Lonchura striata: one gene and its partners. The protein of the gene in region 4 interacts with the protein of the main gene of each other region in a pairwise test. Links are inferred from orthologs where the notes say so. Each region holds a gene or a part of one and is shown on either strand. Other genes may lie near its edges. The genes, in order: COBL, COBLL1, ANKRD24 and PACSIN1.

Region 1 (7,027 bases), on a different chromosome or scaffold from region 4:
TCCATTGCATAATCACAGAGTAAATTGTCATTTCTACTGTTGCTACTGATTGCCTTAAATTCACTTTTGTAAACCAAAATAAATGTTCATTAAATAAAGCATTATGAACTAGGTAAAGCTTCTAAAAAAGTTATGCCTAGCAATCAGTAATAATAAAATTATTGGTTCTGAAATCTGCAATTTTTTTTGAAACTGAAAAATTGGAAAATCCTTGCAACACCAGCACAAATTGCAGTTTTTCCTTTGCCATTTAAAACAAAACAAAACAAAAAAACCCACAAAACAAAAACCCAACAGTATCCTTCATTTAAATGTGCACCTCTCAAGGAACTGTACCGTGGAACACACATAATCAATTTATCTGTGTAAGCACACAGCAGAGCTGCTCTACCCTGCACAAAATGATACATTAAATTTGTTCACTGTTTAACAAAGGAGGGTCACAATGTTGCTGTTAATGATTACATAAAGACAAAACACCTCTGCCTAAATTTTTTTAAAATTTTGAAGCTACGGTCATTTTAACCTTCCTTTCATAGCTGCAAGCTAAGCCAATCAATAAGCTGGAAACTTGTATAGCATGTCTTCTGCCATGAAAGGAAGGTATTTCTGTCACAACGGCCTTAGCAGCCAGAGGTCCTCAGCCGCACTCCACAGATGCAGTACACGCCTGGATTCATATGGAAACCGAAAAGGACAAAGCTGTACTTTGCTGCACTTTCCTGACCCTAACAGATTTCATCAATGTGTGAGTAAAATCTGATTAGGGATCAAGCATCCACCAGTGTCCATTATGGATGATAGAAACTGAGGGAATTATGAACCATTCAGTGAAGTACTCTGCTAACAGCGCAGACACATCCAGGCTGGGAAGGTCTGACTTGGAAGAAAAGGCAACACAAAGTAATTCAAGGATGAAATGAGCTCAGATAAAACAGGCAGTCACCTCTTGGTGCACATGACAGTGTTGCCATCAGCTTCCACATGAGCAGATTAGCACCCACACACTTTGTTATACAATATCACAAGTGCATCTTCACCCTACGGCTGGATTCGTCTTCTTGAGCCATGTCAGGAGCAACATGACTGAAGTTAATGCAGTTACCATAACTTCTATTCATGCATGGGATTTCTGGGTCTGTGTGGCTGCGGACAAGTTGACACAGATGAAACTGGTTACAAAAGGATTCAGGAGTTTTATTCAGAAATGCCCACAGGCCCCAGTGGTCCTCTCTGAAATGCATCAATGACATGCCTTCCCATTGCAAATTAAATTTTTTTAATGAGTCTTTGGATACCTAGCAATCAAGACAAATTTTTAGTCAGCACTGCATTACTCTTCAAAGCACACATGTAAATTGGCACCATAGATCTCCTCTTCATCAGGATTTTAGAAAGCAGCTATACTATTACATCAACTAAATACAGAGAGGGGGAAGCACCTTACATCTACCACTCTTCCTGGAAGATTAGCCTAAAAGGTCACGATCAAACAGGCTCAAGTTCAGCTGGAATTAAGCATTTTATTTACAAAAAGAGCAGCAAACTATGTCATACTCTGCACGTCAAAGAAACATGGTACACACTGTTTCATTACCACGGCACTAGCAATGGCATCTTTTCTTCACTTGTTGCTCCCTATACTGCTTTCTGTGTACACTACAAGGTTCCCTATTAAACACAAACTAAGGAAATGAAACTGAACAAAACTACTGTAGCCCACTAGCACGTACTTTGAGCTATTTCCTACTTTGTTGAAAATAAATTTATGATATAAATATTAGAACTAAAAATAAAAAAAAAAGCTGCTGAAGCACTCACAGTCTCAGTCTGCACAGTGTGAAGTAGAGCAGTAAATTGCAGCGAGCAGACAGCACAGCTCTTAAAACTTGCCCAGCTTTTGCTCTGACAAAAGAGATCGCTTAGGACCTCATCGTGCTGCTGCTCTCGTCGTTTAATTAACGGGCTAACAAATTCCATTGCTGGCATATCTTCTACTTGTCTGTTCTCTTGAAAAACCCCTAACCCTCCCGCGGTTTGCACTCGGGCTGACCGCTACTTAGCAATAGTGCTGCGAGAACGGTGTCTGTCACCCAAGGCAGGAGGTACTAGGAGTAGCCACCGCCGTCTCCCACCAACCTCGGACAATTTTGGGCACTTTTAATTCGCGGTTGGCAGTGCTCTTCCTTCCTCTGCCGCAGCCGTGAGGTAGGGCTGAGACCCACGTCTGGGACAGCTGAATAAACCTTTCAAAGGCTTTTGGCAGCTGAGTCCTAGAGCTGGGGCAGACGGGGCGTATGGGTGAGAACCTCTGCGGCCGCGGGGGCTCCCCGGACCCTCCGCCGGACCGGTCTGCCCGGAGCCCCGCCGCAGCCCCGGCTCCCTCCCTGCCAGTGTCCCTTCCAGCCCCGGTGGCCCGGGTCGGGAGCTATAAGCAGCGGCTGCCCTTCGTCCCGCAGCGCCGCCCCGAACCACCTCCTGAAGGGAACAAGTCCCGACCCGAACCGGCTCTCCGGTCTCGCAGCCGGAGGGGCCGCGCCGGCAGCCGGGCCGGGGCGCCCCTCCCGCAGGGCAAAGGCGAAGCAGGCACGTTCTCCTGCTCCTGACCTTTTTGCACCCGAGCTCACCGCCCTGCCGCCTCCTGCTCCCCGCCGTGCCCCTCCGTCCCAGGGCTGTGCTCCGAGCGGGCCGGACGCCGACACCTGCGCGCCCAGAGGGGAGCGAGACAGGCGGGACGGAGGGAAGGCACCGCGGCCCGCCGGCCAGCGCGGCCGCTGTCGCCGTCCGGAGCCGCTCCCGCCCGTGGAGAGGAGCGGCGGCCGGTCCGGCCCGGGTCCCGGCGGGAGCTTACCCGGTGGGGGGTTTGCTGGCCCCGGGGCGCACGAGGGTCTCCATGGCCGGGCCCCCTCGCCACTTCTCAGAGGACGGGCCGGTGCAAGCCGCGATCCCGGCAGCGGCGAAGGTCGGAGGCGGGGGTACCGAGAGGGAGGGAAGAGAGGAGAGTACGGGAGTGAGAGCCGCCCTCGCCCCCACCTCCCCCGCTCCCCGCCCCGCTGCCAGGCGGCACTGCCCGGCCGCCGCCGCCCACGGCTGCCCAGCCCGGCCGCGGGCTGCGGGCGGGGATGCGCTGCCGGGGCGGCCTCTGCCCGCCTTACCCGGCCGGCAGGGAAGCCACGCCGCGCCGCGGGCCCTGACACCCGGCCTGCCCGGCCAGACCGCAGCGGGGCACGGCGGGGCGGGAGTCAGGCGGCGGAGCTGCCGGCGCGGCGGGGCTCGGCCGGCCGCTGCCCGGGCAGCGCGGGGGCGCGGGGGCGCTGCGAGCCGGTTTCCACGAGACTGCCCGGCACAAACGCCAGCACGGCGGTCGCCCCCGCGGGCACTGCCAGGGCGGCCGCCCACGCCGCCCACGGCACGGCGTGGGAGAGGAGCGTATAGGATAACAGGCGGGGGAGAGGAGCGACAAACCCCCGCCGGCGCCAGCTCCCAGGACCCTCCTCCGTCTCTTTTGCCACGAACTTGGCAAAACCCAGAGCTTGTCAGGCGAGTGTGCCCGAGACTAAGTCCCGCCGGGAGCGGAGGCTTTTCATCAGCCCCACACCCTGCCCAGCCCTGGCTCTGCCACCTAAGGCCTGTTTCTCGTCACTTCTGTTCGTACAGGGACATGTTTTTCTTCTCTCGGAGGCGGCACACACAACTTTTAAAATTAGCGGCATCTGTGGTCAGGCAGAGGGGCTGGAGGGCCGTGGCACGGCAAGGCAGGCTTCTCCCCAGCTTTTCCTCCTGCGGAACGAGCCCAGCATGGGAAAAACAGCCCCACTTCCCGTGCGGTGCAGTGCGCACAACAGCACAGTCTTCGTGGAAACGTGGGCATCGCGTTAAAATCTGTGTGTGTCGTTTTAGGAATATCCCCCCTTATATCATTTTCCCAGAATTCGACTGCTACACCTGTGTGTAAAAGCAAAACCAGACTGGAGGTGGGGAAGTCTGGCTGGCAGTACTGCTCTGTGTGTGTGTCCTCAGCCCAGCGTGCCCGGCGTTGGACAGACTGGCTTCTCCAGGTAATTCAGGAGTTTCTCTGCTCCTCACCATTTGTGTCATCTTGCTTTCCTGGCCACGGTGGGAGGATGGCAGAGGCAGGTCAGACCGGCTGAGTGAAGTTACAGTAAGAAACCTGAATGAGGATCTGAGCTTTTGCCTTACCTGGCATTTCACCTGGCTGCCTTGTTCTGCTTAATGGTCACCTCTTTCCTCAAACCCTTCCATCCCTTCAGTCTTGAGCTCATATTTCTGCCTACTGTGTTCATCAGAAAGTGTCTTGCCCAGCTCAGTAACCACACAGAGTAGATGTAAGCAGCTTCTTTGCTTCCAAAAGCGAGAGCTGCTTCCTCAGCTAGCAAGACTTGGCAAATACGGGTGCATGTGGCTGAAGGCATTGCCATATGCAAGAAAACCCCATCCCAGGAAGATTGAAAATACTTCAAAACATTCAGATAATTTGCAAGTAACAGAGGAGTGAAAGACAAGTTCATCTTTTCTGGAAAACTGGAATATCACTGTAAATGCCCACTTTTGCCTACCAAGGCTTTTGCATTATACCAGATTCTGTGTATTTACCCCAGTGTATAACATAACTCTTCTTGTGCTATAATCATCCTTAACTTTATCTTCTCTCACTTTGACAACCTCAAGTCTCCCCCTAATTCCTATCTCCTCAGCAGACATCTAAGAATGCTGGCTTCCATGCCCTTCTTCCTCTCCAAGCCCACATGTGCAGGTACCTGTGGGAGGCAGCTGCCTGTCCTAGTTGTATGTAAAGAAACAAAACCACAAATTTGCAGAAGCAAAACATTGATCTCTAATTTCCTTGTTACCATGGGTAGAAGTTGACTGAGTCACCACAGTTCAGTAATTACCCTGGTCATCTGAGATACATGCCGCAGTAATGAACCACATGCATGATTTTAATTTGCACCGTTATGAAAATAAATAGGCTAGGCTACATAATTTATTTTGCATGTGGATTGGTTCAGCCACTGCATGCTGTCAGTTTCCATAGCTGCAGGAATGAATGGTCATCTATTAAATCACGTGAGCTTGATTTCACAGCTCTGTTCATCATCTGTTCAGTCATTTTTCGTCTCCTGGTTTTTTTTCCTAAATCTTAATGTACTCTTCCCTATTCTAGAACAGTTGCTAAAGCTGCACAGGCACAAAAACCTCTGCAGAAACACCCAGATGTTTCCCCATTTTCATCATTAGCAAACTACACCAAAAGGACTTACTTTGACTCAGCTGTAACTTCTAACCTTATATAACTGAGCAGAGGTGTAAAGTACAAAACACTCAGACTAGTACTTGCTTTTTATGTTCCCTTCTTTTTGTACAACATATCAAAAGAGTGAAAGCCTATTAATTACCAAACTCATGATCTTGTGTCTCCAGAGCACCCATGGGGCCAAGTGTCCATGTCCCCCATTCTTTAGTCACATATATCTGATGGAAAAGCTGAGTGAAATGTGAGGAGTGCACTGTGTGATGCAACATGGGAATCTGTTTTTTCTAGACTGCTTGGCACTGAGTGTCCCTCTTAAAAAGGGCAAAGGGGCTATTTCTAGTGTGCATTGTAATCCCCACAACTGGGGTGCTGTGCTGCTTTGTTAAGGCAAAGGGCATTAGTTTGGAGAGGGGCTGTATGAATATTTGCCAATGTCATAAAATTGTGACATTGGCATGTTTAGCACTCCCAGTTTGTTTAACCCTTTCCTGTTTGTAAAGCTTCATCTCTGTTTCAATGGGCCTCTTCAATATATTTCCTTAGCAAATCAATTAACTTGGATGATAAAATCCTTGTAGTAAAATAGCTTAGGCCTTTACAAATAAAAAATAAAAATCAATGATGCACCAGTGCAATTTCACATTTATGCCTTTTTAGAGTTTTCAAAATCTTATTCATATTTTTCTCTACCTTCGCTGCTAGTAGTATTACTGAATCAACCTAATAAGGCTACATTTTTCTTCTACTAAAACTAGCCTGCAATATTTCAGGAATTTGAGTTTGTAGTATAAACGTAACTGAACATGTAAGGAATCTAGTAAGACAAGTCTAATACCAAAGAATTTGTTTATATAGCAAAAAGAGCTTAAAATTAGATCAGCATTAGCTAGTATGCACCAGTTAACCAAGTCTTTTCTCTAGTCCAACACATAATATTTTTTTATGATTCAGCTGTTTGAGGACCATCACAGAATTGGAAATCAGGTTTGAGCCTAAAAACCAAAGCAAAACATAACAACCCCAAATTTATAGCAGGAAGAAATTGTGAATAGAAGTTAGTTATTGTGGTTAGGTTCAGTTAATAGCAAACTTTTTAAACCGCATAAGTCTTTTTCCCATTTGAAGCAATCTAGAAGTTGCAATTTAAGCATTAGCCCCTGTAAGAGAGTTGACTTACTGCACAATTGTAAAATTCCTGGCTATGTAATTATAGCAATTGGAGTTGTGTAGCCTCAAGATCACAAAACTCCTTTATTTTGCTATCCATAGTGAAAAGGAAAAAAAGAAACAGGAATTTAGATTTTCAGGGATTGCTAGGCCTTTTCCTTAAGTCCCAGAGCTCCCATTCTTCAAAAAACCATGGAGATGAGAGGATGCGTGATGCAGTCCTGGCCCAGCACCAACAATCACAGGGCAGAATGAGCACCATCATGCCATGTAAAAATAATCTGGAAAGGGAGGGTCCTTTTGTCTAAGAGAGTATTTCAGAACACATATGCAGGGTGGGAACATGATGTACATTAAAAGAGATGGGGAAATGGTTTAAACACATGATGTGAATAGAACAAGTGAAGTTTCTGTGAACAATGCATTAAAAGACATTAAACAGCCACCAGGACATAAAAACTGGGTTATTTTAAATGTGGCTAAAAGTGGATACAGCAGACAACCACATAACCTGGACTGAAGCTGATCGCTATAATACAGTGATGCAGTCTTGAGTGTAAGAATCATAGAATTTTGGGGATTTTG
Region 2 (7,384 bases), on a different chromosome or scaffold from region 4:
TTATATTACAGTTATAAACTTTGTCATGCGAGTTTAGGTACTTCTTCAAAGTGAAGTGAACACAAGACAATGGAAAAATTATACAGTTAATTGTACTACAAGGATAAATACTAAAATCTGTATAGAAAGTCCTCCCCATTTTAATGATGAAATCAAACAACTCAGATAAGAGTTTTGTTTTACAGAAGCTGAAACTGATTTACGTGAGGATCTTCATTCCAGAGGGGTAAGAGGCTGTCTGGGGAGCAAAAGTCCATTGCTACAAAGATGGCGTGTGGGAAGGAACATGGCTCAGGTTCCCTGTTACCCACAAGACAGGAATGAGGAAGAACAATACGATTCTTTCTTAACGCACACACGCACGCACATAACCTTCTTAATTCAGATAAGCATCTATCTTTGGTATCAGTATCAGAGACTGGGAGTGTACTACACCAGCTTCTGGAAGGGGCAGCTAATCATGTTTGAGAATTCTATCATTCTTTAGAAGAAAGCTCAAATTAACAAAGAAAAAAAATATAAGGAAATATGCCTTCCAAAATACAGTCTTTATTCTAGATAAAGCAGAGATTATATGGTACCATTACAAAACAGTTTAAAATACCTCAAAGAAGGTAAAACGCAACAGGTCAGCATGATGAAAATGTTATTTGTACCAAAAAAATGTTTTAAAGGCTCATTTGGTTTTCTCTGCTTCAAACCCTAATTCTAGGTTAATATAAAGAAGTGCAAGTGCATTCAGTCTCTATTATATGTGGTTTTGACCCAGCAGAGAGTACATCCCTCCAAGCCATCAGCAGCCACAGATTCTCCCAGGAGAATGCCATAGGAAATGGTATCAGAAGCTTTACTGGCCAGGTAAGGCCCAGGGAAGCAATATCCACTAGACCTTGTCACAGAAGTACAATAAGGTGGTCAAGCAGAACCTACCTTTACCAAAACCATGTTGGTTGACAGATCCCCTGGGTGTCCTGTACATGCCACATGATATCACTCCAGATAATCTGCTCCGTAACTGTCCCTCACTGCATGGGCATTCAGCTCATCACACAGTGCTGTACTGCCTGTGCAGACTTCTGCTCTGTGTAATGGCATAGAAATGCTTAACAAAATTTTGTATACTAATAAATTCCAAGTTCTTAAAAAGCTGTTCACGTAACTGGACCATGCCCTTGATTTTCTACCTACCCAGAAAAGATTAAAAGAGGGGGTGATACAAATATTCAAACACTTCCATTTGTGTGGACTATAAACACTGAAATTCTACAAAATGCAAAAGGGAAAAAAATAGAAAAAGAAGAGAGAGAGAAAGGAATATATTTACTCAGTAGCAGTAATAGGCCTCTTATACCACAGCAAGTTCACCAGTGTTTCCAGGAGTCTTGTCTTGATGTGCTGCTAGAAAAGCATTACATTATTATGGTTACAGTCACAGAACATTTGGTCTGCTTTATCTGCATTATCTAGTTTTGAATTTAGGAATACAATATACCAAGTGTTTATGACTCAGTGTTTAACTGTAGCCCTGTAAACACTGCAAGCCTCCAACAGAAAGGCAAACAGCTACAGTAAGTGACTATTTCTGGCACTATTTTTTCCTATAAAACATCAAACAGTCCAAGTTAGAGACAGCATATCCCAGAATCCAAGGAACAGAATGTATCAAAATTTTTTTTCCTTGGGTTTTTAAGTACCTATCAAAAGGATATGGCAGGGCTTACAGCACAGCCATGAATTTCACTTTCTCAAGAGCAAGCAGCAATTTTCTTTCCTAGTGAAAAGCCACTAGAAACACTAACAGGGCTTTTATTTAAAATTAAGACTAATGAGAATTTGATACAAGTATACAAGTTTTGAAATAAACTTTCTTAAGAAAAAAATTACAGTTCTTTTGTGATCTGTAGTACTGAAGGAAACATTGTGCCAGGCAAAATTCTAATAAAGGAAGGACTCAAGTCAGGACCTGTGATACAAAAGAACGCACATTTATGTGAACATTTCCATAGTCTGTCTTCTGTTTTAAGGAGTAATCAGAACTGTCCATGACTTATACCTGAGTCATTTTAAAAACAAAACCCAAAATCTAAAGTACAATTAACTTGTTCCTTCCATTGCAATTTAGAGCAGCCTGAAGCCTGAAGGACTTCTGCAATAATATAATATATTTATAATATTAATACACTTATTATATAAGTGTCTGCAACTTAAATCACAGACACTTAAGTTTACACACTACCACTACCTCAGAAGCTTGATGTGCAGTAGAAAGACCAAACAAGCTTCCTAAGTAAAGACAAGTAATCAAAAACTTCTCTGTCCCTGTTGCTCAAATCCACTTCTACCTTTGGTTGTTCCTATGTGGAAATCCAGACTCACCAAAATGTGTATTTAACTGCAAGTATTATGACACTCAAAACTGTTTGACAAAAATAAAGTACAGTTTTTAACTGTTTCTGTGTAAGCTTTCTGTTCATCATCTTGCTTAAATACACACTGCATTTATAATAAATATAATAAAAAAACATAAGCCTGCTTTACAAAGAATGGAATCATCCTGACAACACTGAAAGAAGAAAACTGCATTTTTATCTCTCACTTTCCAGCGTTTTCTACAAAACTTTCCAACAAACAGTACAACTACGAGTATGGACTGTAGCATCAGATATTTCCACTGCTGGTTTTAAGGTTCTGCAAGAGCTCAGATAACACGTTCATACAGGTCTACTTACAATTTACACACAAAATATGTTAATTTGGAAAAAGAAGCATTCACTTCCCAAAAGAGACCAAGTATAACTTTTGTAATTAGGAGACAAATGTAAGCACTTGCTTATCAAAAAAAGCCTAGACACATTGAAAGTATATAGCTTGAGACTTACCATGGTCTGACATTTTTCATTTCTGTTGCTGAAAACAGAGCGCTCAGTGAGGACGCAGAAGGCAGAGGTGTCTCAGTAACGCCTGCTGCGGCTTTGCCAGCCCAGACTTGCTTTGTCCCTTAGTCACTCGCCCGGCCTCCGCACAGCGCGAGCGGCTCTGGGGCAGGCACTGAACCCGGGCAGCGCCAGCGGCCCAACCGCACAGCACGCGTGGCAAGCGTCCTTTGTTCAAATGAACACTTCTGCAGCTAGAAAATCCTGAAAGCATGGTCAAACTGCTACAATAACGACTCTTACAACACTAAGAGCACCGACTCAAATACGTATCCAAGCGCCAGGGAGTGGCAGGCCAGCATTAGGGGTGTTGGGGAGAGGTGGTGGGCAGTGGCCGTAAGCCCAGGGAATGCTGCCGAGGCCCCCGCTGGGCAGGGATGTCACTGCTCCCACCTGGGCAGCAGGGCTGTTCTGCTGTTCCCTGACAGAGTAATAGCAAGAAAATAAAGACAAGTAAAACCCTGCCTTTCATTTAGAGATGTTACTAAACCTAAGCTGGCTGTGAGGAAGGAAAGCTTTTCGTCTCCAAGATATGCCAAGCAGGGGTAGCGCTGAAAAGTTACTTCCTACGTGCTTGCTTGTTGTGAAATATCTTCCACATTATATTACTTCCTATATGTGAAAACCAGTCTTAAGCATTCAAGTACTTATCCTGCCACGATTTGAGCAACTCTGTAAAATGGTGCAAGGCAAAGCACTACTACTTCAAAGCATAACACTGCTTTTAAAAGCAAAGTTGCTCTGACATCCTTCAGTTTAAATCAACAAAAATGCAGACGTCTTGAATACAAAATAAAATATCTCCACAAGTAGTATTGTGTCTACCTAGACAATCTAATTTTAAAGTTAAACTATCTGTCTAGAAAACTGACTACCTGGAAATAAAATATTTGCATATGTAACATTGCTGGAACTGAACAAGACCAATTATTATAGCCCTTCAAGTTACTGCTGAGAAGTGACACATTTGCTTTCCAGTTCCAGTGTGATCTTTCCTTTTCAATGACCAAACCAGGCATTGCTTAGTGATTTGATCCACTAGGTGAATGAACTGGTATTGCTCAGAAATTCTCTTTCTGGTTCTTAATCTAAGAAGGTTTCAGCAAGGACAAATAATGCTAAAGATAGGCCAAAAAAAAAAAAAAAGTGCTGTACTATCCTGGTTAGACCAGGTCTACAGCTAGGAGCACAGACATTTTATTTTATAAGTTCACAAGTAACTTTCCCACTGGGGATGAGACAACAAAAACCAGTTGCTTTAATAGAAGCCATGAAAAGGAAAGCCACAGGGTGGCACTGCAAGTAAGATGTATTTTGAAACTACTTGGCTGTTTATTCTTTTCCAGACAAATCAGAGCGTATCTAATCCCATCTGTATAAAACAGGAGGGGTTTTTTAGTTTTCCTTCAAATGTATTTTCCAGCAACAACTATCCCTAGAATATAAATCACATCATAAAAGAGGCACCTACTTCAGAAATGTCTGGGTATTTTATAAATTAATAAAATGGTATTTAAGAATATTAACACAAGAATGCTATTGTAAAGACAGGCTAGGAATTGATAACTATTTTAGGTTTGTCAGTTCATTCTGAAGCAATTTAAGAAAAAAATCTTTCCAAAGCATGTGCATTTTCACAGAAAAGCTAAAGAATTTTTTTTATACCATGACTTTTTATTAATGTTGAGATGGCAAAATCTCAAACAGATCTCCCTCTGAAAGGAAGGACAGAATTAACTTCTAAAAAAGTATACGAAAAAGTCTTAAGACAGCATTCAAAACTATCATATGCTTTTAAAACACTTTCCTTCTCATATATAAAAGAATCATACTTAATTTCATCCAAACTAGATGACTAGCACAGTAGTAATTCAAAACTAAACTTACAAGTCTGTTTAATCTGCTTTGTTGGCTTCTTCTCTCTCAAATTTCAAATCTCAGCTATTTCAGTTAAAGCAGAAACAGTTGCAAAAAGTACTATTCCTGTTCATTTAGTGAACTAACCAATTTTCAAAGGAGAGTTGGAAGTCATCCAGGATCGCAAGTTACTTTCTACTTTCTAAAACAAAAAATCCCTTCAAAGTATAAATTTGGTATTTCAGTAGATTCTGAACTAATAGACACTATATGACTATGAACAGCCATTTTAGTTGCTCGAGTCCTAGATCAATTTAAGTTTTCAATTTGAAAGTACAATCAGTAACAATCGAAAATAAGCAAATATTGTATTTTTGTTCAGTTGCACCATAATAAATTAGAACTCCAATTCATTTGCTATCGTTTTTCTAATTCCAGAGGAAAAGAATTCTAAAAAAATAGAAAGTTTAAATTTTTTCCCTCAGACAGAAGTTCAAGAGTGGACTGGCAACTATTCCAACTGCCAACACAGTCTTCCTGCTAGGAGATTGCTCCCTGTATTTTTAAAACTATTTATATATGGAGATTATTTTGCTATTAGATGTGATAACATTAATTTATGGACAAAAACATATGCCAATATAGCTGTGACTTTAACATTAGATAAGGCAGATGATTATGCAATAGTATTGATTGCCAAAGCTATATAAATTTGATTTGAGCATGTATTTGTATACTTCGCGGACTCATACTAAAGCACTCCACATGCTAATAAAGGGTTTCTGCCTCACAAAGACTAAATTAAAAAGTTAGTGACCTGGAAAAAATAAATTAATTTTGGTGCCAAAACATCAGTGCCTGGTGTCAATATTGCTTAAGAATCATGTATTTAATACAAAAAGTAATTAAGGCACCTCCCATTCATACAAAAAAAAACCCAACAAAACCACAACCCAAAAATCACCAAAAAAAACCAAAACAAACCACCAGCCAACCACAAAACTCAAAGGAAATATCAAGATTTGTCTGTTATTATTTCCTCTTCTAGGAATGGGAGAGCAAGGGGTTCTACTGAATTGTTGGTGTGTAGACACTGAGTAACTGTACTTCGAACACTTCAGTCACTTCATCACTTCAACATCAGCTATGATACTGTTTACATACAACACTGCAAGGTCATGTGCTGAATGCAACTAATGGAAGTGAACTCCATCAATTCTAATAGAGTAACTATTTAAACAAAAAATGGACACACTGGATGCAATCTAATATTCTTCCAACAGACTAGTCTGTGTCCCTCTATTGACACTTATGCCATTATTAATCGACAGCTAAATGAAAGTGGACAAATTTGGGAAGTAGGTACATTGTTCATCAAGGCCATATCCTTAAAAGTATGAACTTTGAGGAAACTGTTCTTAGAAGACATATGGAAGTAACCAGTATGTCTTTTATTTGAATTATGGTTTTTTCTGCTTTTTTAATTTCCTTATTTAAGGCACATTAGTGCTCACAGTTAATTTGTGCATATTTTTCACAGCTTTGGAATAATGCTTCTGGACAGCAGAAACTAGCCAGTGCATTAAGCTTTCCTAGTTGGACATTAGTAACTGGAATACCACTCTGTCTCTGATATGCCATTACAGAATTTTCAGCTCTAGACAGGAGGTCACACACACGTACAATCCCACAATGGAAAAAATAAAAAAGAAACAGTCACATTTTGACTCATAAAATTAAATACCAAAGAGAGGATTCTACCAATCCTAGCCCTGTCTCACCCAATGTGGAACAAAAAAACCCAAACAAATATAATCTATGTTTTCACATCTTAGGTATCTCAGAACTTCAAAGTTAATTATTTATGCAGATTACTAAATACTTCCCTTCATTTTTCAACTATCCTTGAACAGAAGTATTTGTTCAAAAACATAAAGGACAGAAAATAAATGCCTGTATAGCTCTTGTCACTGCAATGCAAAACATTTATGTCCAGTTTGTAAAAACAGCAGTATCACACAATTTAACACTCTTCCTAAATCAGTATTTAGTCCAAATTTCTGCACAACCCACAAGAATTTAGATAGAAGAAATTTTAAAAAGACAAACAAAACCCTGCAGACAACTATTCCTAGTCAGCACTGTGAAGCACATTCTTACATTCCCATCGAAAGTTAACAGGATGAGGAGCATGACTCCATGTTCCCTTGAGGCCAGGCACAACTGAACTACTGGACAAAGAACAAGTTCTGGTCCCCATCACTTGCACATTCACATAGATCATGGGAACTCATTTTCTCTGGGTCACTTGGCTACACAGCTGTGTGCGTGTCATTTGTTTTTAGAACACAAATATTCTCTTTCACATGAACAACCAAGTGCTACATGATTTTAAAAAAATCCAAAAGAGACAAAAATATCTATCTGTATGGCATGCTTTTTTAGCATAAGCTAACCACACATGCCAAGCCAGTTTTGTAATGTTCAGTGAAACCATCTTATGATTCTGCCGAAGTAAAAACTTAAGACAGCTGACCCTTATCGTCATAATCCTCCAAGGATGAGTCCAAAACCTATGATGCAGAAGTCCCATC
Region 3 (7,956 bases), on a different chromosome or scaffold from region 4:
GAGAAATTGGGGAGATTTAGAGGCTCAGAGCTCAGAGCAGAGGCTGGGGACAGCACAGGCAAAGGCAGCCCCAAACACCCAGGAAAAGGGGACACATCCCCGCAGCCTCTGCCAGCCCTGTCCGACGGTGGCAGGGAGCCCGGGGCGGCCCGGCAGCCTCACCGCTGGCCCAGGAGCGGCGCTGGGCCGCCTCTTGCAGGAGGTGCTGGATGAGGACGTTGCCTGTGGCCAGCCCGTAGTGAGCGGCGTCGTGGCCGGTGGCGTCCACCACGGCCACGCGGGCACCGGCGCTGACCAGCACCTCCACGGTGTCCACGCTGCCGCTCTCGCAGGCCAGCATCAGCGCTGTCCTGGGCACGGGGAGAGCGTGGGTGAGGAGGGAACCATCCCTGCGGCCGCCGCCGGGCCCCGGCCCTGCTGCCCCACCTGCCCTGCAGGTCCCGGCAGTTGACGGCGGCCCCGCGGTGCAGCAGGTACCGGCACAGCTCCGAGTGGCTCATCTTGGCAGCCAGGATCAGCGGCGTGGAGCCGTCCTGGGCATGGCAGGGGGAAGGATGAGCAGAGGAGACTCAGATCCTCCCGATATCACACCAATTTTCACGTCCCACCTCAATTTTCACGTCCCACCCCAATTTCCACATCCCACCCCAAGCGGTGCTGTGTTTTGGGACAGCCCCAGCCTGGCACAGCAGGACCAGGAGTAGTGTGACCCCACCTTGTCCTTGCTGTTCAAGGGAGCCTTGAAGTCACAGAGGATCTCGGAGCAGGAGATGCAGCCGCTGGCAGCTGCAGACAAGGACAGAGGCTGAGCGCTGCCCCTACGGGGACGTGAGCAGGACAGGGCTGGCACTGTCCCTACTCACCCGCCAGGTGCAGCGCGGTCCGGCCACTGCCATCGGCCACGTCCACGGGGCAGGAGGCCTGCGGGGAGAGCCTGGGTCACGGGAGGAGGGGGACAGAGGGACAGACTGCTCGAGTGGCTCTGTGGCACAATGAAGGACTGAGAGACTCTGTGGTGTGGTGAAGGAGAGGGACAGACAGACCAACCCCCTCTGGCTCCACGCTGTGCTGAAGGACAAGGGACAGACCCCTGTGGCTCCCTGGTGCCAGGCAGCAGCACAGAGCTGGGAACCACCATGCCTTGGCACTGGTGAGGGAAGGGGGTTCAAGGACAGGGAGGACACCGTGCTGGCACAGCACCTCCCTCCCTCCCTCTGTCCCTCCTCCCTCTCCCTGTACCTGCAGCAGTTTGCTGACACACTGAGGGTGGCCGTGCTTGGAGGCCAAGTGCAGGGCAGTGTAACCTGGGAAGGGACAAACAGGTCAGAGCATGGCCAGCAGGGCTGTGCCAGAGGGGACAGCTTAGGGACAGAGAGAGACAGGCACAAAGCAGGATCTGCTGGAATGGGGCTGAACAGGAAGGGAACGACCCCAGGAGCTCATGAAGCAATAATAGAGCTCCTTTAGGAAACTGGGACAATTTACAGCCCCCCAGGTGTGGCCACCACCTCTGTCCCCTCATCCTCAACACCTGGGGATGACCAGTGGCCCTGTGTGGCCCATGGCATTAGGCAGGGGCACATGGTGGCCATGCCCTCACCCGAGCTGTCCTTGGTCATGGCATCCACGCCGTGGGCCAGCATTGCTTCCAGGCAGTCCACATTGCCCCGCGTGGCGGCCAGGTGGAACCTACAGCGAGACCAGGGGCTGAGGGACTCAGAGGATGTCCCCTGTCCCCAGCCGTGTCCCCAGGGCAGGGCCTGGCACGCACGCGGATTTGCCCTCCGCGTCCAGCTTGGTGGGCACCAGGCCCTTGCGGAGCAGGAGCGACGTGACCCGCCCGGCATCGTTGTAGTCCACGGCCTGCAGCAGCTTCTCGTCGTTCTTGGTCCAGTCCTGGCTCTGCAACAGGGCCCAGAGGAGGCTGTGACAGTGTCAGCTGTGACAGTGCTGTCCCCAGGGCTGGGCTGGGCTGGCTCTCCTTGTCCCCAGCCCTGTTGTGCCCCTTCCAGCCCTGTCCCTGGGGGTGGCCGTGTCTGTCCCCCTCTCCTCCGAGCTCACTCCCAGGTACGGAGAGTTCAGCAGGGATTGGGATGAAAATCCCCTCCAGTCCCCCAGTTTGCAGCTCACAGAGTGGGGGATTTACAGACACAGCCCAGTTTAGCTGTGCCAGGCTGGGATTTGGGACTGAGCCCAACTGTACAGGGGTTTGCCCCTGCCACCCTGAAATCCCAGTACTAAACCCAGTCAGAACCCATGGGAGTCCCATTCCCAGCCCTGCTTTGCTCCCGGAGGAGGAAGGGATCAAACCAGGGCGAGCACAGCTGGCAGCGAGAGCAGATCCCCAGGGATGCCCCAGCCTCCCGGGATAACGGGGCACAGCGCTGTGCCCCCCAAAACAGGACCGCAGCTGGCTGGGATTTGCTCTCCCGGTGCTCCCTGTCCCGAAGGAGGACCCGCAGTGGGACAGGACCAGGACAGGGACTGCAAGTCCCGGGTTCACCCCACAGCCCGTGACGACAAAGCGGCGCTGGCTGCGCTCGCGGTGGCAGGAAATGGATGTCACCTTTCGGGAGCCGCTGGCACCTGTCCCAAACCCGCCTGTGCCCGCCGGGTGCCCCCGAGCCCCTCCAGCCCGGTGGGACCAGGCACAGGGAGCAAACCAGTCTCCCAGGGCTCCTGGCAAACTGGGAGGGTGGTGCCCGCTCCCCCCACTCCCTGGCCAGGCAAGGACAAAGCAGGATGGGGAGGACACGGGGAGCCCCGGGATGGGGATGGGGATGTGGGGTGCAGGTGGGGCGGGGGGGACACGGCTCAGCCCGCGGGACGCGAGCAGAGGGGAGCCGGGAGGGGAGCGGGACGTACCGCGAAGGAGGCGGCGGCACAAAGGCAGATCTGCTTCATGGTGCTGAGCAGGAGGCGGCGGGAGGACGCCATGCGCCCCCCGCTCCCCGCCCCGGCCGGCACGGGCACCCCCGAGCCCGGAGCGCTCCGGCATCGCCGCCCGGGCGGGGGCCGGGGCTGCGGCAGTGGGAGCCGGACCCGCCTCCTCCGCCCCCGGCCCTCCCTCCTTCCCTCCCTCCTCAGCGCATCCCTGCATCCCTGCATCCCTGCATCCCGCCTCGGAGCGGCTCCCAGGCAGGGCTGAGCATCCTGAGCATCCTCCCGGCCCCCGATGGGGGGACCTGGGACCCCCCAAACACCTCCAGGGAGGAACCCCGAAACGCAGAGGGTCCCCAGACGCTGTCCGGGCAGTCCCGCTGGCAGCAGGACATCGGGAGCCTTTCAGGGACGTGTCCAGGGCAGTGTGGGGAAACTGAGGCATGGAGCGCCCCGAGCAGGATGGTCCCACAGACTCCGGGTGAGGGGCTTCAAGCTGTGTCCCCATGTCCCCTGCTGTGTCCCTCCCAGTGCACTGGGGACAGCGCTGTCCCCCTCTGCCCTCTGCGGCCCCATGCCAGGCTGCTGCTGAATAATTGAGGAGCATCGACAGGCTGGTTCCACGGGCTGTGGCAGCTGGCAAAGTGGCACTTGTCCCCAGGAGGGGGACAGGGAGGGGACCTGGGATCTGCTTCCCTCTCCTTTGCTCTGCCCCACTCCCAGCGATGGCTCTGGGAGCACAGGGGGTGCACTGGGGGCTTGATCCCACCAGCCAGAGTGGCAGTGCCAACTTCTGTAGGACTGCTGTCCCCGTTGTGAGCGACCACTCCGTGTCCCAGGGCAGGTCCCCGTGTCCCCACAAACACCCTGGAGCAGGTCACCGTGTCCCCACAGACACCCTGGAGCAGATCCCCGTGTCCCCACAGACACCCTGCAGCAGGTCACCGTGTCCCCATGTCCCCAGGGATGGCACTCACATCTGCCTTCTTGAACTTGGCCTTCAGGCTCTTCATGGTGGCTCAGCCTCAGCCCCGTGGCAGCTGCTCGGGAGGGATGGCCACGCTCCAGGAGGGTCTGTCCCTGCCTGGGGACAGCTCAGCGCCCCCGGTCCCGCTGCTCCCAGCCCGTCCTGGCGTTCCCAGCGCAGCGCCCGCAGCCGGGAACCGGAGCCGGGGATTGTATTACGGCCGCGGCTGCGGTTACAGCCCCGGGCAGGCGGGGGGGGGCCGGGCCGGGCCGTGTTTGGGGACAAGGGACACGGCCTGGGGTGCTGGGGAGGGCTGGGCTCTGATGGTTGGCACCCCTTGCCCATCCCAAACACCCCCCGCCCTTGGTGGCACCTCTTGTCCTGACCTGACATCCCCTTCCCCACCCTGGCAGCCCCTGGTTCTGACAGCACCTCGTGTTCTTGTCAGCATCCCCTGCTCCTCCCTGGCACCCCTGTCCTTCCCTGGCACCCCTGCTCCTCCCTGGCACCCCTGCTCCTCCCTGGCACCCCTGTCCTTCCCTGGCACCCCTGCTCCTCCCTGGCACCCCTGTCCTTCCCTGGCACCCCTGTCCCTCCCTGGCACCCCTGTCCTTCCCTGGCACCCCTGTCCTTCCCTGGCACCCCTGCTCCTCCCTGGCACCCCTGTCCCTCCCTGGCACCCCTGTCCTTCCCTGGCACCCCTGTCCTTCCCTGGCACCCCTGCTCCTCCCTGGCACCCCTGCTCCTCCCTGGCACCCCTGTCCTTCCCTGGCACCCCTGTCCTTCCCTGGCACCCCTGCTCCTCCCTGGCACCCCTGCTCCTCCCTGGCACCCCTGTCCTTCCCTGGCACCCCTGCTCCTCCCTGGCACCCCTGTCCTTCCCTGGCACCCCTGTCCCTCCCTGGCACCCCTGTCCTTCCCTGGCACCCCTGTCCTTCCCTGGCACCCCTGCTCCTCCCTGGCACCCCTGTCCTTCCCTGGCACCCCTGTCCTTCCCTGGCACCCCTGCTCCTCCCTGGCACCCCTGTCCCTCCCTGGCACCCCTGTCCTTCCCTGGCACCCCTGCTCCTCCCTGGCACCCCTGCTCCTCCCTGGCACCCCTGTCCCTCCCTGGCACCCCTGTCCTTCCCTGGCACCCCTGCTCCTCCCTGGCACCCCTGTCCTTCCCTGCCATCCCGGCCTTTGTCAGCACGCCCTGTCCTTCCCTGGTAGCCACTGCTCTGCCCTGGCACTCCTGCCCTTGCCAGCACCCCCTGTCCCTCCTTCCTTCCTTCCTTGGCATCCCCTGCTCTTGGTGGCACCTCTTGTCCATCCCTGGCACCCCTGCCCATCCTGTGTCCCCCCGGGCAGGGGTTCAGTGCAGGTGGGGCAGTGTCCGGCAATGTCGGGGCAGTGCCAGGGCAGTCCCGGGCAGTCCCGGGGCAGTGTTGGGTCAGTCCCGGTTCAGTCCCGGTCACTCCGGTCAGTCCCGGTTCAGTCCCGGTCACTCCCGCTCAGTCCCGGGTGGTCCCGGGTCAGTCCCGGTTTAGTCCCGGTCACTCCTGGTTCAGTTCCGGGCAGTCCCGGGTCAGTCCCGGGTCAATGTCGGGGCAGTGTCCCGCAGTCCCGGTCACTCCCGGTCAAGTCCCGGGCGGTCCCGGTTCAGTCCCATGTTACTCCGGGTCAGTCCCGGTCACTCCCGGGCGGTCCCGGGTCACTCCCGGTCAGTCCCGGTCGGTCCCGGCCGCGCTGAGGGCAGTCCCGGGTCGGTCCCGGGCGGTCCCGGGTCAGTCCCGGTCACTCCCGGTCGGTCCCGGGTCAGTCCCGGTCAGTCCCGGGTCAGTCCCGGTCACTCCCGGTCGGTCCCGGGTCAGTCCCGGTCAGTCCCGGGTCACTCCCGGTCACTCCCGGTCGGTCCCGGGTCGGTCCCGGGCGGTCCCGGGTCAGTCCCGGTCACTCCCGGTCGGTCCCGGGTCAGTCCCGGTCAGTCCCGGGTCACTCCCGGTCACTCCCGGTCGGTCCCGGGTCAGTCCCGGTCAGTCCCGGGTCACTCCCGGTCACTGCCGGTCGGTCCCGGGCGGTCCCGGCCGCGCTGAGGGCAGTCCCGGGTCAGTCCCGGTCAGTCCCGGGTCACTCCCGGTCACTCCCGGTCGGTCCCGGGTCAGTCCCGGTCAGTCCCGGGTCAGTCCCGGTCGGTCCCGGGCAGTCCCGGTCGGCCCCGGCCGCGCTGAGGGCAGCCCCGCCCTGCCCGGCTCCAAGATGGCGGCGGCGGCGCGGGGCGGCCCCGCCCTGCCCGGCTCCAAGATGGCGGCGGCGGCGCAGGGCGGTCCCGCGGCCCCGCCCTGCCCGGCTCCAAGATGGCGGCGGCGGCGCGGGGCGGTCCCGCGGCCCGGCCCCTCCCGGCTCTTCCGCCGCGCGGCGGCCGCGCCGATGGCGGTGAGCTACGCGGCCGGGCTGTCCCCGTACTCGGACAAGGGCAAGTGCGGCCTCCCCGAGGTGAGCGCGGCACCGCCGGGGCCGTCCCCGCCCGCCCGGGGCAGCCCCCGCCCGCCCGCCGGGCCTCCCGCGGGCCCGCCGCGTCCCCATGGCAACCGCGGCCTCGGGAACCCAGCGGGCACCGAGCCCGCCGTGTGTCCCGAGCGCATCCCGCGGCTCCCTCCCCGTCCCCCTTCCCTGGGTGCCTGTCCCCGACACCCCATGGCTCCCTGGTCCCCCTCATGTCCCCCCAGGCCGCCCCCGGCTCCCTCGGCCCCTCTCTGTGTCCCCTTCCATGTCCCTTCTCCATGTCCCCTTCCATGTCCCTTCTCCATGTCCCCTCTCCATGTCCCCTTCCATGTCCCCTTCCATGTGTCTTCTCCATATCCCCTCTCCATGTCTCCTCTCCGTGTCCCCTTCCATATCCCCTCTCCTTGTCCCCTTCCATGTCCCCTTCCATTTCCCCTCTCCATGTCCCCTCTCCATGTCCCTTCTCCATTTCCCCTCTCCATGTCCCCTTCCATGTCCCCTCTCCATGTCCCCTTCCATGGCCTCCCTGACCCCACCCTGGTCCTTCCTTCTGCCCCCACAGCCCCCTTGGCTCCCTCCGTGTCCCCCCTGAGCCCCAGCAGTTTGGGAAGCCTAAAACGAGGTTTGAGGGGAGCCACAGGGACACTGCAGCCCGTCCTGAGCCCAGGGGATGGTGAGGGGACAGGGACACACAGGGTCCTGTCCTCGTCCCCGTCCCCAGAGATGGGGCTGGAGAAGTGTCTCAGGAATTAAATCCCGTGCCCAAACCAGCATCTGGTGTCCCTCGCTGTCCCTCGGCCCTGCCCTGTCCCCAGAGCTGGTGGCACTGCTGGTGACAGTGGGGCACATGTGGGGTGGCCCCGGGTGGCTCCTGGAGCCCAGCCTGGGCCAGCTGCCAGCCAGAGCAGCAAACTCCCTGTTGGTGCTGGGAGTTCCCAGCCCTGTCCCTGCAGCGAGATGCTCCAGGCAGCGTGGAGTCTCTCCTATTAAATGTTTCTGTCCTTAAGGAATGCAAAATCATTCATGGATAAGGAAGAATTGTGGGTTACTGGGCTTCTAGAATCATGGAATCCCAGAATGGTTTGGGTTGAAGAGACCTGAAGGATCATCCAGTGCCACCCCTGCCATGGCAGGGACACCTTCCACTATTCCAGGTTGCTCCAAGCCCTGTCCAGGCTGGCCTTGGACATCCCAGGGATCCAGGAGCACCCACAGCTGCTCTGGGAAATCCATTCCAGCGCTTCCCCACCCTCACAGGGAAGGATTCCTTCCCCATATAATCCATGCCCACATCTCTCCATCCCATGCTGGTTTTTGTGTTTTCCCAGATTTTTGACCCTCCGGAGGAGCTGGAGCGGAAGGTGCAGGAGCTGGCAGAGCTGATCCGGAGCTCCTCCCATGTGGTGTTCCACACAGGAGCAGGGATCAGCACGGCCTCGGGCATCCCTGACTTCAGGTAAGTCCGAGGGCTGGCAGGGTGGCACCTCCTCCAGGTCCATCTTCCTTCATGGAAAGCTCTGATTTATCCCAGACCCGCCCCATTCCTGCTGTCCGTCCTGGATCCAGCTGCAAACACCATTTTCCCTCTTGCACATCTCAGCTGTTGCCACAGAATCCCCACATTG
Region 4 (7,153 bases):
CTGCCGGGGCCGCTGCCGCCGGGATCGGGTTGCCCAGAGAATGCGACCCGGTCCCGGGGGGCTCTGCCGGCCTCCGACGCCGGCTCAGCTTTCCCCTAACAAGCTCCTTCGACTGCCTAATGAAGCTCGGTGGGGCTCTGCAGCCCGCCTGCCTCCCGGCTCCTCGCAGCTCCGTGCCACCCGAGCCAGCCCCCATCAGGGCCAGCCAGAACAGCCCCCGGAAGGTTTCACGCCCTGCTGCAGCTGGGGTGACACCTCGGAGATTTAATGTCCCCAGTCCCAAAGAGGAGTGGGATGGACGCTGGTTCCTTTAGGAGCGGGGGATCTTTGCCTGTTGGCGTTTCAGAGGGTGCTGAATATCTGGTCATGGTCCTTCCAAGCAGTGAGTTGGCAGTTCTCAGCACTGGGATGTCCCAGGCACCATCAGCATCCCTGCTGCAGAGGGATCCTTGGCATTAAACATCAGGTGACAAACGCTCTCCAGGATGGTGATGGGGGGACCTCAATGACTCGGGGGGTTCCCCAGTGCAAAGAGCCATCGCCACCAGCTTTGTGGTCTGCGCAGGTGGCACCAGCTCAGGTCTCCTTCCCTGCAGCTTGGGCTGCTCCATGCAGGGAGCAGGTGGGAGCTCTGCCTCCTCAGTTCCTTCACCAAAAACTCGGTCACGACAAACTTTTCCCCGGCTCTCACCATCCCACCGTTTACTGTTTTCAGTGGTAAGTCACTTCTCCTCCTGTAAATGAGTTTCCTTGTGGGAAGCAGCAGACGGTATTGGCAGGAAATAAGCCCTGATTTATGGGGCCACTTGCCGCTCTGGAATTACAGCTCCGTGAGCACAAACGGAGCACAGGAGCCCACACGGTGATCCCGGCGGCTGCTGGAGCCAGAGCAGGCAGGAATGAGGAGATGCCACCAGGAATCAGCCGCCTGCCCATCAGCCAGGCAGGAGTGCCGGCCCTCGCACGAACCGGGGGGGGTTTGAGCGCAGCCAGCTCCCCAGCAAGGAAGGGAAATGTGTTCCCTAAATCCCGGCAGAGCCCCGAGCTATGGGGCTCAGCTGCTTCTGGGAGACACGGGAGAGCCCATGGGCGGTCCAGGGAAGACTGGTGTGGATGGGGGCAGAGGGAATCCCAGGATCCCGAGCCCATTCCTGTCCTCCGCTGCCTCCTCCCAGGGCAGCTGGGGCTCGGGGGGCCGGATGGGGCCAGCGCCCCACGCTCGCCCCATGCCCGGGCTGCGTCGCCGCTGCGGATGTGCCGCCGGTCCCAGGAGCCCTCCGGGGAGCTGGGAGAATACAAGCGCTACTTTGCATCTCTAATTAGCCGCGGAGGATAATTGGCGGCTCTGCGGCAGACAGGCAGCCATTGTGGAGGGCCCCGCGCGGGGCAGGTGCTCCCAGAAACCCAAATCCCACCGAAACAATTCCCTTCTTGTCTGCCTGTGACCGGCCGGGGCATCCTCCGAGCCCTTCCGGGGAAGGGGCTGGGGCCGGGACATAAAGGCTCCATTTTTCCCAGGGAAGCAGCTCGGGGCTGGCTGCGGGCAGCTGCCCGAGGAGCCCGCACATTCCACCCACGGCCACAGCCGTGCTGGGGCTCGCTGCCTCCGGCCCCGCCGGCTGTGCGGGACACAGCCCCTGCAAGCTGCCGGCTTGGAGGCGGCCTCTCCTCCTCCAGCACCATCCGCAGGAGCTCAGCAGGTCCGGAGTTTGCCTTCAAGGTGTTGCACAAACGCCGGCCAGGCTGGCATCCCCGGGACAAAGTCTGTCCCCGTGCCACGCGCTGTGCTGGTGCAGCCTGGCTCTATCCCTGTGCCATCGCCGTGCCCTGGCAGGGACCGGCAGAGCTGGGGACAGGCCATTCCCAGCGAGGGGCATCCCACCCAGAGCCCAGCCCAGGCTCTGGGCTCGGGACAGCCCCGCTCGGTGCTGCCACGCTGTGCTGATGTCCCTTCCCTCGTGGCCCTGCCCTGTGCGCGTCACTGTCGGTCCCTGCCTGTGCCTGGGCTCTCTTCCCTCAATCCTTTCTCGGTTCAATCCCGCTCCCGTCCTGCCGCAGCCCCTCCGGCGGCCGCACACCCCGGGAGAGGAGGGAGAGGAAGCGGCCAGGGGCGACCCCGGGGCAGGCAGCACCTCCAGCACCGGCCGAGCCGCTGCCTGCTGAATTCCCCGATTTTCTCTGTGCTCCTGCAAAGGGAACACAAAACCCCAGGAGGTGGCAGGACTCTCAGGGCTTCATTTTCGGGGTCAGGCGCGCTGGCAGCCGCAGCGGCTGATCTCTGCCGTGCTGCGGCCGCGGCCTTTTGGCTTATTAGGGCTGGGGTTTGCCCGGGGAAGGCGACGCGGGGGCCGAGGGATGCGGGAGCAGCCGGGGAGGCTGCCGGGAGAGCTCTAATCCGTTTAGCGAAGCACTTGCTTTGCCATTTCCAAGGCAGGAGGTGCAGGAGCTGTGATCTGCTGCAGCAGCGACAGCGACAGCGTGTCCGGCCGGCGGGGACAGCTCCTGCTCCGCGGGCCGGGCCGGCTGATGCCGCGATTGTCGCAGCATCCTGCGGGTCACCCTGTGGGACACCTCCGTCCCAAAGGAAGAAACGAGGGGGTGACACCCAGCAAAGCCCCAGGACGGCACCGGGCACCTCCAGGAGCGCGGCGCATCCCTCGATCCCTCCCGTTCCCCGCCCGGCACGGTCCGGCACGGGTCGGGAATCACTTAGAACGGGTCGGGCGCGGGTTGGTTTCCCAAAGCAGGGCGCGGAGCCGGTTCAAACACCGGCGGGGACAGCGCTGTCACAGCGCCCCGGTCCCCGGCATCCCCCTGTGCCCCCCGGGCCAGCCGTGCGCCCCCCGCCCGCCCCGCCGGCCGTACCTCGGGGCCGCGGGGACAGCGGCGGAGCCTCTCCCGGGGCCGGCGCTGCGCATCGCGGGCAGGTCGCGGCAGATGGGGCGGAGGGAGGGGGTAAAGATCAGCTCGGAGATTAGGGCGGCATTTTTAGCCGACCAATCCCCGGCGCGGCGGCTCCTCGGCCGCGCAAGGTGACAACGCGCCCGCCGAGGGGATGGCGATAAACCCCGGGGCGCCGCGGTCCCTCCCGCGGTCCCCGGGCTCCGCTCCGGTGCTCCGAGTGCCCGCGGTGTTCAGGTGTCCGCTCCCCCCGGACCCCACACGGAGCGGGACACGGGAGGGACACCGGGGGGACACGGGGTGCGCCCCAGGGGACACGGCTCCGGTCACAGCCCCGGACGGGGTCGGGGGAATCGCGGCTCCCGGGCCGGTGTGTGCGGAGCAGAGCGCCCCGGTGCCTGCGGGAGCCCCGAGCCCTCGGGCCGGGCTGCGACCCGCGGCTCTCCGGGGTCCCGGGCAGCGCTTCACGGCGGGGGACAGCGGGCACCGCGGGGACTGCGGGTGGCACGGCCGGGGCCGACACGGGTGGTGGTGGCACGGGTGGGGATGCCACGGGTGGGGATGGCACGGCCGGAGGTGACACGGCCAGGGGTGACACAGCTTTGGGTGGCATGGCTGGGGATGGCACGGCCGGAGGTGACACGGCCAGGGGTGGCACAGCTTTGGGTGGCATGGCTGGGGATGGCACGGCCGGAGGTGACACGGGTGGGGATGCCACGGGTGGGGGTGACATTGTCGGGGGTGACACGGGTGGGGATGGCACGGGTGGGGGTGACACGGCTGGGGACGGGGGTGGGGGGGTGACACAGCCGGGGGTGACACAGCCGGGGACGTGGGGGATGGCACGGCCTGGGGTGGCACGGCCAGGGGTGATACAGCTTTGGGTGGCACGGCCGGGGATGGCACGGATGGGGACGTGGGGGATGACACAGCCCCGAGTGACACAGCCGGAACGTGGGGGGTGACACGGCTGGGGATGGCACGGGTGGGGACGTGTGGGAGGCGTGACACGAGTGGGGACGCGGGGGCGGAGGTCACCCGCCGTGCCCCTCAGGCACCGCGGCGGGCAGCCCGTTCCCCGGGCAGGAGGGGGCCTGCTCTCCGCGCAGGCAGCACGGCGGGCGCCCCCTCCCGCCGCCGAGGGGGTCCTTGGCGCGGCGGAAGCGGCGGGCCGGCGCACGCGCAGTCCTTTCCGGCCGGGCCCCGCCGCCGCCGCCGCCACGGTGAGGCCGCGCTCGGGCCATCGGCCGCGCATCGCCGCCATCCCGGGGTCTGGGGGCCCCCCGCCGCACTTCCCCCATCGGGGCTCCACGCCCCGGCTGTGCGGGGAGAAAGGGACCGGCGGCGCCGGGCCGCGGGGTGGGGTTGGGTGTCCGGCGCTGGCACCGGGGCGTCCCACCCCGGCCGCTGCCGCGGGGGTTCGGTCGTGCCCGAGCACGGACAGCCCCGGCCCGGTGGGTCCGGGAGCACCGCCCGTAGCTGATTTCCCGTGCTGGGGGCGCTGCCGGTGTCGGTTCCGGCTCCCGGTTCCCTGGTTCAGTTGCACTTAACGGCGGGGCCAAGCCGGGCTCTCCCCGAGCCTGCCCCACCTTGCCCGGTGTGCCCGACAGCGGGCGGGGGTGCGCGGGATGATTTACGGAGGAAACGCTGGGATTTCCCGGTTTCCCTCCCGGGAAGCGCGTCCCGGGGTGGCCCAGCACGGTTCCCGGTCCCCGAGCCCGTTTTGCTGTGCCCCCTGCAGATGTTGATGCCCAAGAAGAACCGGATCGCCATCTACGAGCTGCTGTTCAAGGAGGGCGTGATGGTGGCCAAGAAGGATGTGCACATGGCCAAGCACCCCGAGCTGGTGGACAAGAACGTGCCCAACCTGCACGTGATGAAAGCCATGCAGGTGGGGGGCTCTGCTGCTGCTGCTGCAAAATTAAACTTCACCATTGTAATGTGAATGAAAAATTAAACTTCATCATTCTAATAAAGATTTGTAGGGAATGGGTATGTTTAGCATGTTGGGACTCATTGCCCTTTAATGGACATAATGCATACCTCTGACAACTCTTGTTGATCTTTTTTTATTTCCTTTACTAATTTCTCTATGCATAGAATTTTACAATAGCTTAATGCATATTCATTCTGCTGATTTCACGTTATACTTACAGTTAGTTACACTTGTACTTAGTTTTTTCTATACTTTCTAACAAAAACTTTTGGGTCACTCTGCCGTGTCTGTTTTAAGATCTTAAGAGTCTTTTTTATCTTTTAGTGTGCAAAAGTGTGTTAGTAGTTTTGCTAGGCTGCAGTTACTAGACTAAATTTATTTAGCATATTTAGCAAGCTCAAAGTGGCACATTTTCTTGAAATCTGAATAGATTTTTACCTTATTCAATTTTCACTCTGTCTCACTGCCTTCTGTCCCCCTTCCCTGCTGAGGAGCTGGGAGAGGCTGGAACTGGGAGGAACTGGGAGTAACTGGGAGCTCTCCCCGCAGTCCCTCAAGTCCCGAGGCTACGTGAAGGAGCAGTTTGCTTGGAGACACTTCTACTGGTACCTGACCAACGAGGGCATCCAGTACCTGCGGGATTACCTCCACCTGCCCCCCGAAATCGTCCCGGCCACGCTGCGCCGCAGCCGCCCCGAGACCGGCAGACCCCGGCCCAAAGGTCAGCTGGGGCTGGGAAACGTGGGGGAAAATTCAAACTCCATCATTTCAATATTTATTTATAGTGCTGGACGCACGTGGGGACTTGTTGTTCTTTAATGGCTCGCTTTTGATAACTTCATTGATTTTTATTGCTCTTATTAATTTCTATACTCATAGAATTTTACAATAGGTTTGTGCATAGTAATAGAATTTTATATAAAAATAGGTTTATGCATATTCATTTTGTTGATTTCGTGTTACATTTCTAGTTAGTTACACTCGTATTTAGTTTTTGTTAGAAAGTATAGAAAGAACTCTTGGGTCACTTTGCTTGTTTAAAGGTCTGAGGAGTCTTTCTTATTTTTTATCTTTTTAGTGTGGAAATTTGTCTTTTTTTTTTTCTTTAGCTGGGGTAGTTTTATTAGTGTTGCAGTTACTAGACTAAACAGCATATTTTACTCAAACCATCTCAACTCAGTACCAAGCTCAAAGCGGTACATTTCACTTAAATCTAAATGGATTTCTAATTTCTACTCTGTTACATTTTTCCTCTCTTTCAGCTGGGCAGCCAGGGGTGGGCACAGGGGGCTGGGCAGCCAGGACAGTGCCAGACCTGTGGGGATTGGGTGTAAAATCGTGAGCAGAGCAAGGAAATGTGGTCGGGGTTTGTGTCCCACCCCAGGGATTGGCCTTCCCCAAGGAATGGGATGGGGATGTGGAGGAGATGTTGGAGCCCCACCTGGGCATCACCTGTGGCCAGTGGTGGGTGTCCCACTCTGCCTTCCCCAGGGACACTGAAGGTGCTCCTGGGACAGGGCTCCTGAAATATTTACCCCCACAGCACCCTGGAGTTGCTAGACAGCCCAGATCTGAGAAGGCTTTGGGGGAATATTTCAGGGGCAAGGTAAAAGATTCCAAAAGAAGCTCTAACCCCCAATGTAGTCCTAGACTTTTATTCTCAAAAGTTTCCAGGGGAGAAAAAGGGAGAACAAGGGAGAACAGAGCCTTGTCTAGACTCCTGCTCATGAAAATATAATTGGCTCTCAGCCAATTAGGTCAAGAAAGGAAGGAAAGGTTAAACTAACATGGTTACAGCTACAGGGGTCTCTGGTGGGGAAAAAGCCATTTCCCACAGGAATACAACCAGGTCCTTGTTTAAGGTGAACAGCAAACTCGTGGTGGAGGAGCAGCAGAGCTCACAAAAATGCTGAGGGGTTTGGAGCACCTCTGTGAGGAGAGACAGAGGGAGCTGGGCCTTGTTAGTCTGGAGGAGAGGAGACAAATCCCCACAGATTTGCCCAGGGCATGTACCAGAGGATGCTGCCAGACTCCCTTCAGCGCTGCCCAGTGGCAGGACAAGGAGCAGTGACCAGAAACTAAAATACAGCAAGTTCCACCTCAGCATGAGGAAGAGCTTCCCACTGGAGCAGCTGGGGGTGTGGTGGTCTCCCTCTCTGGGCACATTCCAGACCCACCTGGACACGTTCTTGTGCCACTGCTCTGAGTGACCCTGCCTTGAGAGGGCTTGAAGAGGGTGAGCTCCAGATCAGCCCCAGCTGCTCTGTGATTCTGTGTGTGGGGCTTGCAGCTCTGATTTTCCCTTGGTGGCTTTTC

Evidence for each region.
Region 1: the proteins of PACSIN1 (region 4) and COBL interact in binary tests that used the Homo sapiens proteins (3 or more experiments, as listed by UniProt). The link is inferred for Lonchura striata from reciprocal best matches to the Homo sapiens genes PACSIN1 and COBL.
Region 2: the proteins of PACSIN1 (region 4) and COBLL1 interact in binary tests that used the Homo sapiens proteins (3 or more experiments, as listed by UniProt). The link is inferred for Lonchura striata from reciprocal best matches to the Homo sapiens genes PACSIN1 and COBLL1.
Region 3: the proteins of PACSIN1 (region 4) and ANKRD24 interact in a two-hybrid assay, tested with the Homo sapiens proteins (2 studies listed by BioGRID and IntAct). The link is inferred for Lonchura striata from reciprocal best matches to the Homo sapiens genes PACSIN1 and ANKRD24.

The regions. Positions count from the first base shown.
Region 1 is NC_134603.1:68,806,059-68,813,085, reverse strand, and holds the start of COBL (protein cordon-bleu), read right to left. Parts: upstream 3,006-7,027; 5' UTR 2,896-3,005; coding exon 2,852-2,895; intron 1-2,851.
Region 2 is NC_134610.1:18,264,641-18,272,024, forward strand, and holds the start of COBLL1 (cordon-bleu protein-like 1), read right to left. Parts: upstream 3,009-7,384; 5' UTR 2,883-3,008; coding exon 2,880-2,882; intron 1,399-2,879; coding exon 1,325-1,398; intron 1-1,324.
Region 3 is NC_134630.1:6,746,338-6,754,293, forward strand, and holds the start of ANKRD24 (ankyrin repeat domain-containing protein 24), read right to left. Parts: upstream 3,009-7,956; 5' UTR 2,938-3,008; coding exon 2,866-2,937; intron 1,903-2,865; coding exon 1,772-1,902; intron 1,690-1,771; coding exon 1,601-1,689; intron 1,305-1,600; coding exon 1,240-1,304; intron 922-1,239; coding exon 864-921; intron 787-863; coding exon 716-786; intron 534-715; coding exon 427-533; intron 351-426; coding exon 163-350; intron 1-162. Other genes in the region: SIRT6 (NAD-dependent protein deacylase sirtuin-6), read left to right, coding at 6,257-6,322, 7,660-7,787. UniProt on the Homo sapiens protein: Component of the stereocilia rootlet in hair cells of inner ear.
Region 4 is NC_134632.1:4,264,829-4,271,981, reverse strand, and holds the start of PACSIN1 (protein kinase C and casein kinase substrate in neurons protein 1), read right to left. Parts: upstream 3,018-7,153; 5' UTR 2,866-3,017; intron 1-2,865. Other genes in the region: RPS10 (small ribosomal subunit protein eS10), read left to right, coding at 4,643-4,792, 5,387-5,558. UniProt on the Homo sapiens protein: Plays a role in the reorganization of the microtubule cytoskeleton via its interaction with MAPT; this decreases microtubule stability and inhibits MAPT-induced microtubule polymerization.